Coturnix japonica: one gene and its partners. The protein of the gene in region 3 interacts with the protein of the main gene of each other region in a pairwise test. Links are inferred from orthologs where the notes say so. Each region holds a gene or a part of one and is shown on either strand. Other genes may lie near its edges. The genes, in order: BEND7, PAICS, L3MBTL2, TLE family member 5 and PHF10.

Region 1 (4,051 bases), about 39 Mb from region 3:
GTGTCTGTAAGCAGCACTACGATACAAATAATGTTATTAATTATCATTATTGTTAATATTAACTACTGTTAACATTCACATTCGTTTTCCTCTGAGCAATTTTCTAACCCTTAAGCGATGGGGTCAGTCAATACAACTGGAGCCAATAGAATTCTCCTGGGTACTCTCATTAGACCAAGAGATCGGCTTCTGCTCAAGTGTGACCATGTAGCTATCTATCACTTACTCCTCTCCTTGTCATGACACAGCCTGACTACATGTAAAACACAAGATGAAGACTGGGAGCTGTGTTTTGGTTAACGGTGTCTGGGTACTCTGTAGGCACGCTATGCTGTAAAAGCTAAAACTGCACCAGAAATGCACTTAGTGTAACGTAAGGGAAATAAGCGAGCCAGGAGTGTGGCTGGAAGCATCAGCTGGTGGATAAAGCATTAAGTTCAGCTGCGTCTGGATCATCCATATGGCTGTGGTGACCTGCTGGGTGGCACTCCTACAGAAGACTGGGACTCTTTACTATGGGATATCACGTTTAACTACTGAATGTGAAGCCTGGCTTAGAAGACAGCACTCTGCAAACAGGCACATGGTTGTGATGAGCTCGTGGGCTCCAGCCCAGCCTTGCTGCTGGGGTATTTGAACTAGATTTTGCACAGTTATGGAGCAACAACTTCAATACCACAGAGCTCACCACCACAGAGCTCAGCCCGGGCCCGGCTGGGATCGCCTCCTATCACCCCCAAAGTTCCCCTCCGGCCCTGAGCGAGCCTTGGGCCCTGGGCAGGCCCTCGGGGAGCCCCGAGGCTGCACAGGCCGCACCGAGGGCCGCCGCTCCGTCGCAGCCGGGGCCCCGAGCCCTGAGGGAGCGGCGTGGCTCGTAGGAAGCGGCGGCGGCAGAGGGAGCCAGCAGGCGGCTGAGTGCAGGGGTGTGCAGGGGCGGGCGGGAGGCGGGATGGGGGGGGGACACAAAATGGCGCTGCCCTCTCAGCCCCTCTCCCTCCGGTCACACTCCGGCCTCGGGGCCAGGCCGCCCGCGGGGCCAACAGCCTCCCCGGCCTGGCGTGAGGCGGCGGGCGGGCCGGCTGTGAGGAGGGCGGGCGGCGGCCTGCGGAAACAAGCCGGGGCCCGCTCGGTGGGGCTCGCCGCCTTTCCCCAGCAGGTGGCAGCGGGGTCCCGGTGCCGGCAGAGCCATTGCGGGCCGCGCACCCGGCGGGGGAGGCGGCGGCGCCGCTGGCCGGCATCGCCCCGGGCTCCCCCCCGCCGCCTCACCCCGCTTCCCCCTCAAAGTTTGGGGCGGCCTGGGAGGGCGGGCGGCGCCGCGGGGAGGCGGGGGGGACGGAACGAACTTGTCCCGTATCCTTTTATTTGCAGTTGAAGCCGAAAGCTCCCGGGGCCGCGTTTATTTTTGCTGATTAAAAAGACGGACCTTGGTCCTGCGGCTCCCCGCCGCGCGGCCGCCCTCCTCGCTCCCCTTTTTCCTCCCTCCTTTCTTCCTCCTCCCTCCCTCCCGCCCGCCCGCACCATGGAGTTTACGGAGAGGAAGAGAAGCAGGAAATCCCAAAGCTTTAAACTGATCAACGAAGGTAAAGTGGCGGCGGGGAGGGGGGGAGGCTTTGTGCCGTTGGTCTGTTTGTTTGTGCCTGAAGAGGACTTTTGCATAAACGGGGCCGGGTTTGGGATCGGGGTGTTATGAAATGTGCGTGCTCCTTTCCCTCCAGCTCGGCTGTGTCTCTCCCTCCTCGTATTTATTATTTAACTCTGGAATCAACTCTCCCAAGCGTTGCAGCTCTTCTTTATTTCATCGTGTTTTTTTTAACCTCCCTCCTCTCTCCCTTGTAAAATATATATATGTGTGTGTGTTCTGCGTTCCTCAAAATGAAGAAAATAACAAGAAGGAAAAAGCCACCCCCAAAAGGTGGACGTGTTTTGTTTCTTTCCAGGGTGATCTCCTACCGAATAAAGTTGGATCGCGTTTCATTGCAAATCCTCCTTTGGGAGGGGGGTGGGGGGGGGGGTTGGAGGGAAGGAAAGGTGAAATGGAGAATTAGGCGAAATAATGACACTTGGGCAGCACCGAAGCTCTTTAGTATTCAACTCCTGTGGGTTGTTGTGTGTGTGTTTTCCTCCTCTACGCACGTATTTCAAAGCGAAGCCCCACCGAGGTGTCTTTATTAAAATCCACGCTGCTAATTAATCGTCCGTGGGTGAGGAGGAATTGCTGGCATGTAACTTGTTCGCTTGGTGCCTGTTTGCTTTTTGAAAGGGGGGGGGAAATAAATAAAAGAAGACTGTTTTAAAAGGGATCCTTGGGGAAAATGTTTGGGATTCATGTCGGGAAATGAAACGCAGCTCTTTGATTCAGTCCTCTGTGAGCTTGCTTTCAAAGCTACAGCTGCTGGAAGTCATTTTAACAGGTGGACTCGCAGCCCCAGGCTTGGTGTTGGCCGGGTATGTCGAGCTGCTCCAGCTGATTGTCTCTTTTGTCCTCATTGATTTGGTGGGAGAATTCTTATTTTTCCTCTCTCTATGTATCTTTTTGCCCCCCCCTTCCCCTCTCGTGTCTTGAAGTCTTGAGCTGAAATATTTGCCAGCAATGCTGTGTGTGTCGTGCATGCCAAGTTCAGGGCAGGTGACTGCTTTGGGATAATACAGCGCTTAGGGGTGAGTGTGTGTGTGTGTGGGGGGGTGACTTTTGGTACTCGCTGAATGGGGGAGGTGAGGTCTTTAAATGAGTGTGGCAGAATCAGATGAGAAGCAGAGAAACGTGAAGGTGGAAACGAGCTCGCTTGAAATAACTGCTTTAACTCTAGTAGGGTTTGGAGCATTGCACATGCTGCTGCTCAAAATAGAAGGACAATGACTGGTCAGACTTGTCTGAAATTCATTGGAGGTTTTGTAAACATCAGCAGAGCCACCGGAGGGGGTTCATTTCTATCAGGAATAGGTTTGCTTTGTGAGCTTTCTTAGCATCAGATGTTCCGAGGCAGTTTGTGCAGGGCTGGAAAGTGAAACGTGCAGCCGAACAAAACTGAAATTGAAGCCTCGGTTTTTATTTCTCTCCTCAAAGTGCTGCAAAAAGAAGGTGTGCTCTATGGCAAATGTATTAATATTGTGCAGATTCTCAGTCCTAACAGGATTAAACATTCCTCAGTGCGTAAGGTGATCTGTTTAACTTGGTTTGAATTGGATAAATTCATTTATGGTGGTTAATTATTAGCGGTTCTTACTTTACCTGGGGTCTGCTTTTGGGTGTAGGGATTCAAATAGAAAGGCATGCTGAAAGAAAAACGCATCCTGGAGGACTGCGTTCACACTTGGAGGGTGGGGGGCATAAGCATCACGTTTTGTATGTGAGTCTGTTCTCACGTAGCCTCTTTCTATCACAGTTGATTATGAAGCTAATTATGGATAAATAGTTGTCTCTTGTAATTGGCCTTTGCCTCTTGCTGGAGTCGCTCAGTAATGTCACAGTTTAGTGTTTACTGTTGTGAAATTGATATGGATTTCACAGCGCCTGGACTGTGACACGAGGCATGAGAAGGAAACCAAAGAGAAAATGGGATGCTGGATCAGTCTGTAATGCAATCTGTTAATAACCCTGCCATCTAAGGTGCTCAGTCTGTCCCCAGAAGCTTCAGAGCACCCTATCAGTGTGGTGAGCAGATTGAGAGGGAGTGCACCTCTGGGGTGCAGAGCAGTGACTTCCAGGCTGCAGCTGTAGGGCAGAAACGGATGGTGCCCAGCTGGATGCACAGAGAGAAGTGGAGGAGAAACCACGTGTAAACTGTATGTCTGAGGTATGCAGATCTGTAAGTCATCTAATTCCGAGTTCCTATGTGCACTCTCTAGCAGAACTTGCAAAGAAGGAAATGTAAAGAAAAGCTAATGGGCTCTGAGTGCAGTCTGCATAAATTCTATACTTACAGCATTTACTTCCTCAATACTGCAGCTTGTATTTCACCTTTACCCCATACACGTCAGGCAGCCCATATACTTTTCTCCCACTTCATGGTTCAGAAAACCCCAACGCTACTTACTTGATTAACACCTCACT
Region 2 (4,069 bases), on a different chromosome or scaffold from region 3:
TTTTTTCTTTCTCCTTTTTAGTCCTATCGAGACCTGAAGGAAGTGACTCCTGAAGCACTGCAGATGGTTAAAAGAAACTTTGAATGGGTTGCAGAAAGAGTAGAGGTATTTCTGTGGTGGCTTTTTTTCCCCTAATGAGCCGTGTATCTGGTCTTTGATAACTGTGTCTTCAGTCCCGTTGACTATTTTGTTCGATTTGTTTTTTTTCCTTTTATTTCTTCTTTATTCTCCCTTGACTATTCCTCATAGTTGCTTCTGAAAACGAAGAGCCAAGGTAGAGTTGTGGTATTGATGGGATCTACTTCTGACCTCGGCCACTGTGAGAAAATAAAGAAGGCATGTGCAACCTTTGGAATTCCTTGTGAGTTAAGAGTAACCTCCGCTCACAAAGGGCCGGATGAAACTCTGAGGATCAAAGCAGAATATGAAGGTAGATGTCAGAGAACTAATGAATGAGACTGAGCAATATCATGTACAAAAATGACTTGTCAACTTAAGGATCTCTGTAAGCTTTTTTTTTTTCTTCCCATAGTTTCTTGTTTGTTGAACACAACAATAGTCTGTTACAATGCAGTTCTAATCTTGTTAAATACATAATGATGGATGGTAGACTGCACTGAGCAATTATGAAGTAAGATGCTGTCTCAGAACTTCCATTACTCAAAAGCTTGAACTGTGATTTTTATCTCATACTTGCACTTCTTTGCTTGAGCCTTGATCATGCTAATACCTGCATCTGTAGGAAGATACTACAGTAAATGTATTTCTTAAACAGGGAGGAGTGGAGGCTTCCTCTAGCTGACTATAAATGTTCTTTGGTTTCCTCCAACGCAGATGTTGCTGCCATCATCCTACTCATTTGTTGAAAATGTTGAATCATTTTTGTACGCGATGAGAAAAAATACTTGATTTCAATTCATATTTTTTATACCAAGAAAACCTGACTTCTCTTTGAAAGGCTAGAGGAGGAGAGATGAGAATTCACTTGTTGGAGTATTCCTTATACAGAGGGGGAAAAAAATACTATTTGGGGACAGGAGGAAGCAGTTAAATACTTGAAAACACAAATGTGGTAATCACAGCTGAGATTCACTGGAGGTGAATTAAGACTTTAGTTAAACTATAGTTCTTTTTTTTATAGTTTTACAGCCAGAATTTAGCTGTCTAAATCTCTCATCCTTAAATGTTGCTGTTTCCAAAAGCAGCACCCATTCCTCTGGCTCTTTCTCTCAAGCAGAGGAAGGGTGAGACATGTTAACTTGTTCAGTTATGGTAAACAGCATCTGGGTTTTAAGGCTGTAAGATCAGTCATTTCTGTAAAGGGGAAAATTCAACATAAATTTTAGTGCTGCGTAACAGAATGAAAGAAATTTAAGTGCAAACTGAAGAACTGTGGACTCAAAGCTCCATAAAAGCAAGTGGGATGAAACAAGATGGACTTGCTTATTCTTTCTTTTTCTCCCCCCAAGGCGATGGAATCCCGACTGTGTTTGTTGCAGTAGCTGGCAGAAGCAATGGCTTAGGGCCAGTAATGTCTGGTAACACTGCTTACCCTGTTGTCAACTGTCCTCCTCTCTCATCTGACTGGGGTGCTCAGGATGTGTGGTCCTCTCTCAGACTGCCCAGTGGTAAGATGATCTTCAGCCTGTGCAATTGTACAGACCTAGCTATAGTTATCATACACATGTACGTGCACTGTTTGGAACAGTGGCTTATCAGTACTGAACAGTCTCTGGAAATCTGCATGCAGTCTTTGGGCTTTTTGCAGCTGAGAAGCCAAAGAGATTATGTACAAATACTCTTTAGAAAGATATGATCCATTGCTTATCCTTGCTAAATATTTGAGTTTGAAACAGGAGTTAATAATGGGAAGCTGTTGTTTCTGCTTATAGTGTTCCATTTTATTAAAGTAAATTTACTTTGATAAAAGACCAAATAATATCTTTCTCTACAATTAGCTTGATTCTTCTACAGCAGTGTATTGCTGCCATATGAATTCTTATCAGTTAGTGACTAGAACAGCTATTTGGCAACTTGCAGGCACAGCAGCCTGTTACCTCTTTCCTCATAAACTTATTGCTTTGCTGGCTTTGGGTTTCAAATGCCATGATGAGAGAAGTATTGAGATATTTGACACTTCAGTGGCTTTAAAACTAAACCATGTGGCTCTAGAGGGTTATCATAGAATCACCAAGGTTGGAAAAGACCTAAAAGATCATCCAGTCCAACTGTTCACCTATTGCTAATAGCTCCCACTAAACCATGTCCCTCAACACAACATCCAGTTGTTGAAACAAGCACTGTCTTAAACAGTCACTTAGAGGCAATGTGTTGCTTGCGCCTATAAAACTTGTTTGAAAGTAGCATTTTGCTTTCTTTGCAGGTCTTGGCTGTCCTACTACTCTGTCACCTGAAGGAGCCGCTCAGTTTGCTGCCCAGATTTTTGGGTTAAACAACCACTTGGTATGGGCCAAACTGCGAGCAAACATGTTAAATACATGGATCTCTTTGAAGCAGGCCGACAAAAAATTGCGGGAGTGCACCTTGTAAGTCCAACCAACAAGTAACTCCTACCAGCCACGCAAAGATAGTGGTGTGCATATGCATTTGTATCAGGATTTGTAGTTGGATGATGTGATCTTTTCTCACAGAACGAAGCATCTTTGGAGCAGCAGATAAGTCTGCTGTGTCCTCATCCCTCTCTTGTGTTGTTTTTTTTTTTTTTTAGTATTAACGACTTAGTAAAAGAAGATAATATTTTAGTTATCTTTCTGTTGTTCCAGAATAGTGTCATTCTGCTCTTCAGTGTATACTATTAACTACCGATGATGGTTATGTCAACATAATGATTTGGTGTGATTTAAATAGAAGCCCACTTTTTTTCCTGTAACAGTAACGTTCTTCCATAGTAATAATGTATGTTCTGAAGCTTATTAACTCAATGGGACTGCTAACTAAAACTAGTGCTGATGTAGTGCTGTAATGATGGTATGCTTTCTTTTAGCAATAAAATAGCAACATATGCTGTATTAATAAGAAAATAGGCTAAGAAGTAAGAGCCTGAAAGAAATAACTGCCTTATTTTAAAAAAAACATATATTTTTTCATGTGTACATGTGTGTATGTATATACACCCCATCAATAACTTTATCACATCATTTGAGAAGTTACTGTTCTCGTTTGTGACAAGCTCTAATTTTGAATGCAGCCATAATTAGGCTTGTTGCCTACTTGCTGTATAACCCTTGACCTAGTCCAGTCAAATATTAGCCCTTCAAATATTAGGCAGATCTACTGTGGACATATGTGATGCTGTCAAATTATCCTCATACACATCAATGTATCTATATTCCCTCACTCTGTTTCTATGGGAATTATACTGAACTGAAGGTAGGAATAAATGGTAAAGCAGCAGAGTACCAGGGGCAAGCCTAAGCATGACTGTCTTGTCTTTGCACACAACATTCTTCAATGTAGGTACTGATTCTAAGAAATATGCAATTACTCAATGTATGTACAATTTATGCTTTTATAATTAAATAAACTATTTAATTCAAAGTTGCTTTGTGGAGACCTCATAAGATACTCATGCAGTAAGTCATCAGCTTTTAAAAAATGGTAAACACTTGTGAAATAACCCTATGTGTTAAAGCAGCATAAAGTAGTAGATCACATTGCTTACTGTTAGAGGAAGCCCAGTTGCTTCTTCATAAGATGTAGTTTTATTGCTGTGTGTGGCTCGTATTTGCTTCTTAATGAGGGTAAACTGGATTGATTTGCTGCCATTGGCCTTCACAGGAAGGACCACATCCTCTTTCTGTGTAGCCATCACAGAGCTCCAACTAGTGCTACCTTCTAGAGTTAAGTAAGATCTTAAGTTCAAAGCCTACACTGGAGCCAAAACAACTCTACCTCATTGTGTAGTCCTGAGGGGGATTTGCTTTTTACTTCTAAGCACAAAAAGAACCACAAACACCTAGTAACACTTAGAGCTGGTTAGTGACAAAAAGGTTCAGACTTCATGGTAAAATATCATCCTTGCAATAAAAACTAGTAGTAAAGCCGTGCT
Region 3 (4,076 bases):
ATTTGTGTTTGTTCATGGCAATGTATTTTACCAAAGAAACGAGGTCTGACCTCATCAGCTGACCTGCACCCGGCCAGTCTGGGAGCAGCTGATGTTCAGAAGACCTATTTTGCATTTTGAAATGAGAACTATTGTTTGGATATGTGATATTAAAAGATCCTATTTCACTTGGAATACATTGTTCAGCTTTTGGCACCAAAGTGTGAGCCTGAGAGAGAACCTGGTGTGGATATTCTGTAGATGCTGTGCTGCAGTAGCTGATGGGTGCCCCATTAATGCTGTTGCACCCACTTATGGGCTGCTTGAGGTCACTTAGCATGGAAAGGCTGAAGTGCTCTTGATCTCACCTGACAGCAGTGCGTGCAGGCGGCTGCCTCTTAATTCAAGCACATTCCCCTATTTGGGGGATGTCCTGTACAGAAATGCTTCAACTAGGGAGCGTGTGTGTAGCAAAGCCAGTTGTGTGTGCCAGCTGTAACTGCATGCACGTGCTGTTGAACCTGGTGTGTCGTTCACTGCCTGCGAGCCATATGTGCAGAGTAGGCAGGGAGGGCTTCCCAGAGCACAGCTTTACCCCATGGGTGTGTGGGGAGTAACTTGTACCTGTGTTTTGTGCACCTGAAGATCTGGCTGTGGCCAGAGCACAGCACAGGCGTTGGGATTGTCCCTGTGTCCACCAAGCCCAGGTAATGACACGAGCAAGCTGCCTTCAGGAAAAGATGGATGGAAGATGATGGAGTGAGGAGCCTGTCTGCACGGGAATCTCAGTCAAGTGCCAAACAAAAGCCATGGTCTATTGCAAAGTGGACAGATGTTCGTGGCTGTATGAAATTTGGAATAAAAAGCTTGATATTCAGATACAAGTACGATGATTGGTCTAACACAGGAGCATAAGCTGTGAATAGAAAGGTGTATTTGATGGCAAGATGTCAGCCTGTCTTCATAAGGGAGGTGCTCCAGCCTTCTGACCATCTTTGTGCCCTCCTCTGGACCCCCTCCAGCAGCTCCCTGTCTTTCTTGTACTGGGGGCTCCATACCATGATGCAGTACTTAGATGGGGCCTCGCAAGAGCAGAGCAGAGAGGGACAACCACCTCCCTGTCCCTGCTGGCCACCCCTCTCTGATGGAGCCCGGGACGCCGTAAGGTCCCTGTAAGGCCGCCATCATGCTCTGGGCCACGCCCCGCCCCCTTCTAGCGGAAATAGAACTACGCCTCCCGTCGTGCCCCGCGGGGAGTGAGGCGGGAACAAGCTCTTCTCCGATTGGCTCATTTTCTTCCGTCTGTGGCCAATCGGGTGCGCGGCTGCGGGGGAGGTAGTGCTCCACGCGCGTGAGGCGGGCAAGCGTCCTGGGAGCCATGGAGCAGGAGCAACAGCAGCAACAGCAGCAACAGCAGCAAGGGGAGGTGAGCGGCGGCGGGGCCGGGGCGGTACCGCACTGCGAGAGGCCTCCTGCTGCCACAGCCGCGCAGTGCTCTGCAAAGCCCCGCAGCGTGGGCTGGGGGGGGCTGGGCCGCCCTGTGCTCCACGGGAGACGCGCGGCCCGGGCTGTGGCGGCCGTTTAACGGCTGCGGGGGGGCGGTTCGCCTCCCTGTGTGGAGCCCGATGTGGCGTCAGTGGGGTGTTGGGGGAGGGAGTGACGGAGGGGGCGCCGCCGGGGGGGGATGCATCGCAGCTTTCGGGCTCTTTTGGTTCCGGAGCAGCGATCCCGAGTTATTCGCTTCCTGCGAGCTGAAGGAAGGAGCGTCCGCAGAAAGGGCTGCGAAGGAGGTGGATTTGCTGCTGGTCCGTCATCACAATTCGTTATAAATTCAACTCTGGAGAAAGCTGGTCCAGCTGATGTTTAGTCTGTATTAGTTTTGTGAGCTTTGGTGGCCGGAGCCTGTAGCTCGGTACGCTGTGGAAAGCTCGCTGTGGCTTTGACGGCTTGAGGAGAGCCACTAAGATGATCCGAGGGTTGGGCACCTCTCCTGTGAGGAAAGGTTGAGGGAACTGGGCTTGTTTAGCTTGGAGAAGAGAAGGCTCCAGGGAGACCTCATTGCAGCCTTCCAGTATTTGAAAGGAGCACATAAATAAGAGGGAGAACAACTGTTTGAGTCTGGACAGTGATAGGACAAAGAGGAATGGTTTTAAACTGAAACAGGGTTAGAGATGAGGAGGTAGGTTTTCACACAGAGGGAGGTGACACACTGGAACAGGTTGCCCAAGGAGGCTGTGGATGCCCCATCCCTGGAGGCATTCAAGGCCAGGCTGGATGTGGCTCTGGGCAGCCTGGTCTGGTGACTGGCGGCCCTGCATATAGCAGGGGGGTTGAAACTGGATGATCTTTGAGGTCCTTTTCAACCCAGGCCATTCTATGCTTCTGTGATTCTTTAGATTTCTGAATCTGGGATTGTTGCGTGGATTTCTTGCACAGTCCAAGGCTTCTCTTGGGTCTAGACGTCCTCTCAGCAGTGAAGACAAGCTAGTAAACATTTGGCATAAGGTGTTTGTTTTAAAGCAGACTGGTTGTTTTGTCAGGCAGCGTCTTCCATTTGCAACAAAACTTCATCTTTGGAGAAGGCGGAGGTGGAAGGTGAGGAGGAGGAGGAGGAAGAAGAGGAGGATGATGACTTGGACATGTTTGGAGGCTATGACAGCTTCCGGAGCTACAACAGCAGCATGGGCAGTGACAGCAGCTCCTGCCTGGAAGAGTCTAGTGATGATGAGGTGGCAGATCGGGAAGTCAGAGGTCTTCCACTCTCCCCTGTGCACCAGCCACCCACAAGCCGGATCACAGAAGACAGCGGCTCTGAGCCAGGTAGTGCCCGTTCTCCTGTGTATGATGGTAAGAATGAGAGCTGGAGGAAACCAAAGCATGCTCTGGGAGCAGAACTGAACTGATAATGCATGTTCTGTAATACATGGAGGAGCTGCTATGTGTAGTGGGGATTTCCTGGGCTTAGATCTGTCACTTATAAAGCACTGGTCCTGCTGACTGCTTGTATCTTTGTGCTTTTCCACTCAGCTGTGTGCGAGATGTGTGGGATTGTGGGAACCAGGGAGGCTTTTTTCTCCAAGACCAAACGTTTCTGCAGTGTATCATGCTCTAGAAGCTATTCATCCAACTCCAAGAAGGCCAGCATTCTGGCCAGACTGCAGGTGAGTCAAAATCCCTCCTTCCCCAGGGGTGGAGTAGAAAGCCCATGTAGAGGGATGGATTTTTGCTGTCTTGTGAGGTCTCAGACTGCTATTACCAGTGGTTTATTTCTGCTTGAAGCCCCCAGAGAAAAGCATACCAACTGTGCAGTGCTGTTTTCTAGAAGCTGGGGAAGGGCATAGTTATATTTTATTTGTTGTATCTTCTGGTTCCTGAGAGCACTAATAGTAATCTGTAAATCATCCCTGGAGAGATGTGTGCCTCCTCCTGTCCAGTTGCAAGCTTCTCTCCCTTCCTATTCCACTAATATTCCTTCTTTTGTAGGGGAAGCCACCAACAAAGAAAGCTAAAGTCCTGCACAAGGCAGCCTGGTCTGCCAAGATCGGGGCCTTCCTCCATTCACAGGGCACGGGGCAGCTCGCAGATGGGACTCTGACAGGCCAGGACGGTGAGTGTAGGCTAGTCATGAGGAGGTATATCTTTAGAAGGGGTAACTGTAAGACTAATAGCCCCATGCTTCACTCTGATTTCTCTGAGATGCTGTGGCCCCAGAGATACCCCCCCAGCTCCATTTCTCAAGAGCAAGTTGACACCATTTGTGGGATCTAGTTCCTCTTCAGGGAAAAGGCACTCAAATACAGAGTCCATGCTCTCTGGGACAGAGTGCTTTGCCCTTGTTGTAGCCCGGAGGTAACTGAGTACTGTGTGCCTTTTAGATAAACCTCTTTGCCTTACTTTCTTCTCTTGTCTGCTCCTAGCACTAGTCCTGGGCTTTGACTGGGGAAAGTACCTGCAGGAACATGGCTTCAAGGCAGCTCCAGTCAGCTGCTTCAAACACGTGAGTTCTTTGCTGTGCCTCACAACATGTGTGGTACACTTTGCATGCACTGGACTCTCCTGTGCTGAGTGGAGAGAGGCCTGGGGAGAGGGTTCTTGAG
Region 4 (4,211 bases), on a different chromosome or scaffold from region 3:
GGCTTTATTTTGAAGCAGAAAATGCACCCAGTTTGAAAGGCAGGAGGAGAACAGCAGCCAAATCAAGGCAGGATCCCTGTGCACGCAGCAGCCCTGCCCAGCACTCCTTGTTTGTGCCATGCAGGGATCCAGCAGCCTTTCTCTGCTCACTGGAGCACTGCAGCCTCTGCCCATGGATGGGGCTCTGCTGAGGTGCTGCTCTGGGCATGGTTTCTTCCAGCAAAGGAGAGAAGAGAAGAAGCAATGCTTTGCTGTGGGCATTGCAAGTCAAAAACTGAGCCCTGCATTGCAATGGTGGGGTCTGCACTGTGATGGTGAGCCTTGCACTGTGATACTGGGGCATGCAATGTGATGGTGAGCCCCATAATGCAATGGTGAGCCCCATATTGCAATGGTGAGTCCTGTACTGTGATAGTGAGCCCCAAATTGTGATGGTGAGCTCCACACTGCTGGGGTGCTCAGCTCCTGCAGCATCACATCAAGAACCATAAGCAATAGGTGAACAAGGAACGCCAAGGGCAGACGTGTCTGGCCCATCTGGTGGCCTCCATTGATGGCATTGGTGGACAAAGGAAGGGCACAGGCTGCAGTTGTGCAGGGCCTTTGCACGGCCCCACACTGTGCCCATTTCTCTCAATAGGAGAGAGGTGGGTTTGAAGGGTGGGCTGTTTGGTGGGTAAGGAAGTGGTTGGATGGTCATAGCTTGGGATCTGTGGTCGTGGTGGTCCTACAGACCCCCCTGCGCTGCAACTATGGGGGGGCAGAGGGCAGGGAGGGGACTGTCCCGTCTGCTCAGCCCTTGTGGGGACCCACCTGCAGTGATGCATCCAGGTCTGGGATCAGGCTGTGGGATGCTCTGAGCTCTGAGCACCAAAGATCCTCTGCTATGGAAACGTGCTGATGGAGCAGCCATGGAGGCTCCGGGGAGACCTCACTGCAGCCCTCCAGTACTTGGGGAGGGGGCTTACAGGGAGGAGGGGGAGTGACTTTTACCTGCCTGATAGCAATATGGTGATGGGGAGAACTGGATGCCCTTTAAGGCCGACCCCACTCTAAGCCCTTCTCGCACCCACGATGCCCGCAGCAGGTGCGGGGCTCTGGGACACAGCGCAGACCCCAGACCCACGGAGGGTCCCACGGAGCGGGGTCTGAGCGGCACCGGGTCGGGATGGGTGGGCGTGGGGGGGGCAGAGCATCACGGCTGGGGGGGGTAGGAAGGAATTGGGGGGGGGGGGGCAGCTGGGCGCCCCCCCCCCCCCCGATCCCGGGGGGGGGGGGGGGGGGCGAGGGGGGGGGGGGGGGGGGAATTGGGGGGGGGGGGAGCAGCTGAGCGCCCCGCACCGCCCGGATCGCGGCGGGGGCGGAGACGGCCGTGGGCCCGCCCGGCCCGGGGAGGCGGCGGCGGGGCGGCAGGTGGTGCCGAGCAGCCGCAGGACGGAGCGGATCGCAGCCGCCATTAGACAATAGGCGGCGGCTCGGGGCACAGCGGCGCGGGGCGGCCGCGGGGCCGGGCCCGGCGCGGACAAAGGCGGACGGGGAAAGAACGGAACGGAGCGGAGCGGAGCGGAGCGGAGCGGAGCGGGGCGAGGGGACCGCTGCGGGCGGTGGAACGGGCTGCAGCCTGACATGATGTTTCCACAAAGCCGACACTCGGTACGGCGGCACCGGGAGGAGCGAGGAAGGAAGGAAGGAAGGAAGGAGGGAAGGACGGGGGGGAGCACCGAGAGCCGCCCCCTGCCCGCCCGCAGCCACCGGGAACCGGAGCGGGGGGTGCGGGTGACCTTGGGCGGCGGCGGGCTGCGGTGGGGGGGCGGGCAGGGCTGCGGGCCCCCCATTGGGTGTGCAGCGCTGTGTGTGTTGTTCAAGGGCTCCTCTCACCTGCCGCAGCAGCTCAAGTTCACCACCTCCGACTCGTGCGACCGCATCAAGGACGAGTTCCAGCTCCTGCAGGCCCAGTATCACAGGTACGTGCCGGTACCGCCCCCACCGACCGCCCCGAGCATCCCGGGGGGGTCCGCAGTGCGCCCGGAGCTGGGATCCTCCGCTTTGGCATCGCTGCCCTGCACGGACCGGGACGCAGCGTGGCCAAGAGATGGGCTCCGTGCGGCACGACGCGCTGCCCTCCCAGCCCAGCACAGGTTTACCCCCAGGCTCAGCCTCCCCAGGCCGGTATCACCTCCAGGTCCCACCTGGAGGACCGATGTGAGCATCCCAAGGAGGGGGGGGGGACGCCCGGTGTGCACCCATTGCTGCCTTCCTTTCCTTTGGCCACGCAGTTCGGCCCAGAGTTGGCCAAAAGCTGCAATCCAGGCAGGGAACGCTCTGCTCACTGCCCAAAAGGTGGGATTCTGGAAGGAGAAGGAAGGAGAACGCTCTGCCTCCCCCACAGCCAGGTCTTACCCCAATGCAGGACTCCATGCACAGCTCTTCCATCCCTCCATCCATGCACAGCTCTTCCATCCCTCCATCCATGCACAGCTCTTCCATCCCTCCATCCCTGTGCAGCTCTTCCATCCCTCCATCCATGCACAGCTCTTCCATCCCTCCATCCCTGTGCAGCTCTTCCATCCCTCCATCCATGTGCTGCTCTTCCATCCCTCCATCCCTGTGCAGCTCTTCCATCCCTCCATCCCTGTGCAGCTCTTCCATCCCTCCATCCATGTGCTGCTCTTTCATCCCTCCATCCATGTGCAGCTCTTCCATCCCTCCATCCATGTGCAGCTCTTCCAGCCCTCCCTCCTCTCGCTGGGAGTTTTCCTCCCCTCTCCCTGCTGGCTGCCATTCTTGGCTCACAAATGCTGCAGGGAGCACTTAAAGCCAAATGCTTCCGCTTTTCCGCCTGCGGAATGGCTTCTGCTGACCCAAAAGCTGGCTGCCGATGGGCTCTCTTGCTGTTTGCTTCCTAGCTGCACGCATGCACCAAACCATTGCTCCGTGTGTTGCCCTTTCCCTATTGCTCCCACCTCCCCGAGCTCTGCATCGTGCAGCATTGTGGCCCCCCCTTGCAGGACCCGATCTGCTCACAGAGCAGCAGGTTTGGTGGAGGTGAAGCTGTTTCTTGTTTGAAACATAAAACCAGCACATGCTGCTTGCAGCTGCCGGGCTGGGGAGCTGCACAGAGCACAGCGAGCAGCACGTCTGCTCTTAAGGGTGCAAAGAACCCAAAGGAAAGGGGGAAAAGGCATCATTCCAGAGGCCTGCACTGCACCTGGGCTTCCCCAGTATAGGAGGATCTGGTTGCTTTGCTGAGCTGCACTGGGCACACAACAGGCTGGGATGGACCCTGCAGGATGCAACCCAGGATGCAACCCGCTGCCCTGCTGCTTCTCTCACTGCTTTCTGCCTTTGCAGCTTGAAGTTGGAATGCGACAAACTCGCCAGCGAGAAATCGGAGATGCAGCGTCACTACGTCATGGTGAGGAGCTGCCGGGGCAGCGCGTGGGTGGGGAGCAGGTGCTGCTGCTGCTGGGCTCGTGCAAACGGGGCTCCTCGTGCACACAGGGCTCCTCGTGCAAACAAACAGAGCTCCTCGTGCTCTGCACCCTGTGTGTGTGCTGGGTCGGTGGGTGCAGGATGGACATGCAGGGTGTGAGCAGGGAGCTGCTGTCTGTGTGCAGAGCTGCTCTGCTGCTTGAGCAAACTTGGAGTGCTCAGGAATTGACTTCCCGTGCCAATAGCTTGCACTGGAGCTGCCTGTTGTGTGAGGGGGGTGGGTTATTTTGCGTGTGTGTTTCCTGCAGCTCCTTCCCAAGCAGCTGGAGCTGTGTGCAGCTGGAGCACAGGGCTGAGCCCTTCCATTTGCTGCCGGAGCAGCCACGTGGGCGTTAGGAGATGGGCCAGGCACAGCAAACAGAGCCGGGCTGTGCCTGTTCCCAGCAGAGCACTGAGCTCTCCCTGTGATGCCAGGGCTCTGTGAAGGTGCTGAGTGGGCTCTGGGTTAGTTGAGGTCCCACCTGGGCTGGGGGCAGCAGGAAGGTACAGATGTGGGGGTCTCTTTGCATGCTGGAGTCCTCATCGTGTCTGTTTGTTCTCTTCTTCCCCACTCCGCAGTACTACGAGATGTCCTACGGGCTGAATATTGAGATGCACAAACAGGTATTGGGGGGGGTGGGCTGCCTGCTGTGCCTTCTGTCCCTTCAGTGGCATTTCAGGATGTCAAACGTCAGCACTGATTTTGGGATCTCCAGCTCTGGCATTGGGGAGCACCTTCA
Region 5 (3,511 bases), on a different chromosome or scaffold from region 3:
TAACGAAGTTCATCTGGAGAATATCTGAAGGTAGTAAAATAAATAAATGAATGCCTGTGCGCTTTATGCGTAGATATTACTCACAAAATATGTATGAGAATTAGAGAGAAAGAGTAAGAAATGTAAATAATTCCAACCCTCCTCTTAAGGGAAGCACATATAGACATGCACTTCTCAAAATATAGGAAACTTACGGAGTTATCCCCACAAATGTTACACTGTTTAGTACTTGTCATCTTTGTGTAGGTAGATATTCGTGGAACACAGGAAGAGTATATTTGCAATGTTGCAAACCTGAGCAATCATAAAATACCTGAATGCCTACAAATTTTTGATCAATCCATGCCAACAAACCATATACTTTGTTTATAGAAGTACACAGCATCAGTTCTAACCCACAACACACAAACGGCTGGGGTCCAAAGCAAAATAAGTAAAGATGATAGATTCCAGATCAAGTTTCATGATTACTGAAGGGGGAAAAATTGCAAATAAAAATAACTACAGGATAATGTCAAGATCTAACCAGATTATCTGAACAGACCAAATTCAGGCACCACAGTACATCAGAGAAGGAGACACTCTAGCAGCAAGTGCTACATACATGATGTTGACAAAAGCCCCCATGCTGCAGCACATTTATTAGACTAGCGAGGGCCTCAAGCATAAGAGTAATTCAAAACTCTGCTGCAAATATACTCAAATGTTTTCCACGAGCTAGATGTAGAGATCAGTTCAAAAGAAACAGCAGCTGCAATGCTTTTAAAATACCTTTTGTAATACTCCTGGAACTGGCCGGGTATGAGAGCCACTGGATAAGGACTAACCTTTGTTCTCTCCGTAGGCAAGATTTTGTATTTTCCTTGAGGCACCTGGATAATCTGTTGTTTAACACAAAACAATGAAGTTCTTGTTTTGTAAACTTTTAAGCTTTCCTTACCCTCCATTTCCTGAAAATATTTATGCGTGTGCCAGTTTATGCCTTTTACTCAATTAGAACAGCTACCTGAGCTCTCCCATGGAAAATTCAACTCACTAAAATGACGAGAGATCCCACTCGTAAAACAGTATTACAGATTTAAGTCTAATCAGGATGTGCTTGATGAATTGAAAGAAGACTGTTTCTAATAGTACAGTATGTAAAATAATTTAAAAATAAAAATCTAGCAATTGAAGCAGTAATCGTAAACTTCTGTGAGAAGTATCTTTGATGTTAATTATTATTGTGGGTCCATACTGGTAGAGGGTAGCAACAACACTGCCATCTAATGCCAAAAATCAGACTGTGCCACTAAAAAATCCCACAAATAACACAAATACAGGGAAAAAGAATCTTAAAGAAGCCTTCTTTCCTTAGAAATGAGTCAAATTAATTACCCACCATCTTGTTTCTAATGTATCACTGTCAGGAAGATGTCACCTTTCCATAATATATTACATATATATTCGATAACATATGTAGCATCTAACAAAAATAAGGGCATAAAGTTCGATTCAAAGCATTCTTTCAGATAAACAGCTTAACTTTTAAGTAAATAGATTGTTCAGAGAGAATTTTAGAAGCGTTCCAAAAGAGAACTGGCCATATATATCAACAGATATAACAGAAGCTTCTTAAAAGTCCATATGTCTCTAAAATGAGACTAATGAACCCCCTGAATGGTAAGATTGTTAGAAAGGTTCTAAGAAACACCCTTACTAAAACGAAGATCTACCTTTCAACATTGATAAAAAAATATAGTTTGCCTACATGTGTCTGTAAATCAAAATAGGCTCTTCTTTCTTCCATTCGCTCTCGGTTTAAATTGCTGTTGAATTCTGCAGCCTTCTTGGCAGCTTTTTTAATATATTCTGGAACTTTACTGGCTTCTACTTTCTGTGTGTTCTGCTGCTGCATTTGCTGAAACAAAAACAATCTTATTAACTTACACACATTTCACCACCAGTTTGCGAACATTTGTTTTTATCTTCCATGCTACAGATCTGGTTCACTTAACATATTCTATTTACTTACAGAGTACTCTTTGTAATGATCTGTTATTCGCTGACGTTCTTTCTCTTGCAGTATAACAGAATACTCAGCATGTTTGGCAGGGTATTCTTTAATCATAAGATCAATTACTTCATCACTACGCAAAGCTGTTAGACCTAAAATAGATAAAAGCAATAATGATGCTACCTGGCAAAACCAACCGTGGGTTATTTATATCAAACAATCATCAAGTGAAGTTTTTGAGCAGCTGAAGACAATAACCTACAATGCACGACACTTCACCCTCTGTCACATAGGAGTGAACTTATGACATTTAGCTTTTGAGGCTGATTAAGGTTTTGCTTCTTCCCAAGGAGGAAAGATTCTTCCCTTGCTTACAACTACAGAAGCTAAACTTCATCTTCACAGTGACTGTCACCTACTAAACTTCCCTAAGAGGCAGAACTTCTGCTGAAAGCAGGACCTGGTGATGTTTGTTTCAGTTTCTTGTACTGGTGAATGGCCAGTTTCACTGCCTCACACTATTTTAATTTCAAGGTCAGGTTCTCTGTACAAATCAAAAAAGAATCACTGTGAGGTCAATTCAGAGCAGCAAACTGCAGACAGATGCCTGATTCCTGATTAAAGTATTTCAAGTTCAAAAGTCAGAACATGTCATTTTGCAGCTATCAAGTCACGCAGAACATCTCTTCAAAAGATTCCAATGAAACTAATACTGTTTACAACAGGACAGAAGTTGGCGTATGTTATCACAGGGACAGCTGATGCACCACATGCCTCTGTTGTATATCTGAGATAGAATATAGCATTTTGCTTCTACTGATAAAAATTAGATACGGGTATATCCTGCATATTTAAGTAAAACTTTCAAGAGAGCTGGCAGCTGAGAAACAAAGGCAGTGTACCAAGGACTGTTAATTTATAAAGTAATGTAATTAACATCTGCACAGATCCATGGGTACACTGGGAAAAAAAAAAGTGACAGGCATCCTTTAATTTTTAACACACTCCAAGTCACACATACTAGCAGAGGAAGAACAAACACTTGAAACTCTTCCAATATAAATTGCATTAATGACAATGTTCTATTGCATATGCATTTAAGTGGCTTAATATTCACCCTTCTGACATCTAAGACATAAGCTCAATTCCATGGAATACACTAACGTTTGCTGAGTCACTACAAATTCAGCCAAAAATACAGATGGAGTTTTAGTTTAAAAAATCATGCTGTTCTTTTTCTGTTAAGGAGAAAAAGGCTCTAAAAGCCAATTTACAACATAGGTTTTACTAAGAAATTGGAACAAAATTAAAATGTATGTTTTTATGATCAATATTGAGCATTGATATCCTTTGGCCAGTTTACATAAACAAAAATATAAACTAGTTTTCAGGTCAGAATTTACATTTTCATTTGCAAGTGACTTCTCTACCAAAACTGAATCACATTTTCAGTGGGTCATTTTTTATACTTTAGCGAGGAATCTTATTCTTCTCTTACCTAACGTGCATTGAGTC

What was found.
Region 1: the proteins of L3MBTL2 (region 3) and BEND7 interact in binary tests that used the Homo sapiens proteins (3 or more experiments, as listed by UniProt). The two-hybrid records come from large-scale screens. The link is inferred for Coturnix japonica from reciprocal best matches to the Homo sapiens genes L3MBTL2 and BEND7.
Region 2: the proteins of L3MBTL2 (region 3) and PAICS interact in binary tests that used the Homo sapiens proteins (3 or more experiments, as listed by UniProt). The two-hybrid records come from large-scale screens. The link is inferred for Coturnix japonica from reciprocal best matches to the Homo sapiens genes L3MBTL2 and PAICS.
Region 4: the proteins of L3MBTL2 (region 3) and TLE family member 5 interact in binary tests that used the Homo sapiens proteins (3 or more experiments, as listed by UniProt). The two-hybrid records come from large-scale screens. The link is inferred for Coturnix japonica from reciprocal best matches to the Homo sapiens genes L3MBTL2 and TLE5.
Region 5: the proteins of L3MBTL2 (region 3) and PHF10 interact in binary tests that used the Homo sapiens proteins (3 or more experiments, as listed by UniProt). The two-hybrid records come from large-scale screens. The link is inferred for Coturnix japonica from reciprocal best matches to the Homo sapiens genes L3MBTL2 and PHF10.

Annotation. Positions count from the first base shown.
Region 1 is NC_029516.1:6,097,476-6,101,526, reverse strand, and holds the start of BEND7 (BEN domain-containing protein 7), read left to right. Parts: upstream 1-1,246; 5' UTR 1,247-1,519; coding exon 1,520-1,580; intron 1,581-4,051.
Region 2 is NC_029519.1:58,382,259-58,386,327, reverse strand, and holds the end of PAICS (multifunctional protein ADE2), read left to right. Parts: intron 1-21; coding exon 22-105; intron 106-249; coding exon 250-430; intron 431-1,469; coding exon 1,470-1,628; intron 1,629-2,383; coding exon 2,384-2,550; 3' UTR 2,551-3,558; downstream 3,559-4,069. UniProt on the Homo sapiens protein: Bifunctional phosphoribosylaminoimidazole carboxylase and phosphoribosylaminoimidazole succinocarboxamide synthetase catalyzing two reactions of the de novo purine biosynthetic pathway.
Region 3 is NC_029516.1:45,392,529-45,396,604, reverse strand, and holds the start of L3MBTL2 (lethal(3)malignant brain tumor-like protein 2), read left to right. Parts: upstream 1-1,274; 5' UTR 1,275-1,357; coding exon 1,358-1,405; intron 1,406-2,519; coding exon 2,520-2,826; intron 2,827-3,006; coding exon 3,007-3,140; intron 3,141-3,462; coding exon 3,463-3,586; intron 3,587-3,896; coding exon 3,897-3,976; intron 3,977-4,076. UniProt on the Homo sapiens protein: Putative Polycomb group (PcG) protein. PcG proteins maintain the transcriptionally repressive state of genes, probably via a modification of chromatin, rendering it heritably changed in its expressibility.
Region 4 is NC_029543.1:645,287-649,497, reverse strand, and holds the start of TLE family member 5, read left to right. Parts: upstream 1-1,400; 5' UTR 1,401-1,626; coding exon 1,627-1,653; intron 1,654-1,866; coding exon 1,867-1,964; intron 1,965-3,351; coding exon 3,352-3,415; intron 3,416-4,050; coding exon 4,051-4,095; intron 4,096-4,211. UniProt on the Homo sapiens protein: Transcriptional corepressor. Acts as a dominant repressor towards other family members. Inhibits NF-kappa-B-regulated gene expression. May be required for the initiation and maintenance of the differentiated state.
Region 5 is NC_029518.1:36,960,563-36,964,073, reverse strand, and holds part of PHF10 (PHD finger protein 10), read right to left. Parts: coding exon 3,495-3,511; intron 2,149-3,494; coding exon 2,015-2,148; intron 1,901-2,014; coding exon 1,751-1,900; intron 882-1,750; coding exon 772-881; intron 25-771; coding exon 1-24. UniProt on the Homo sapiens protein: Involved in transcription activity regulation by chromatin remodeling. Belongs to the neural progenitors-specific chromatin remodeling complex (npBAF complex) and is required for the proliferation of neural progenitors.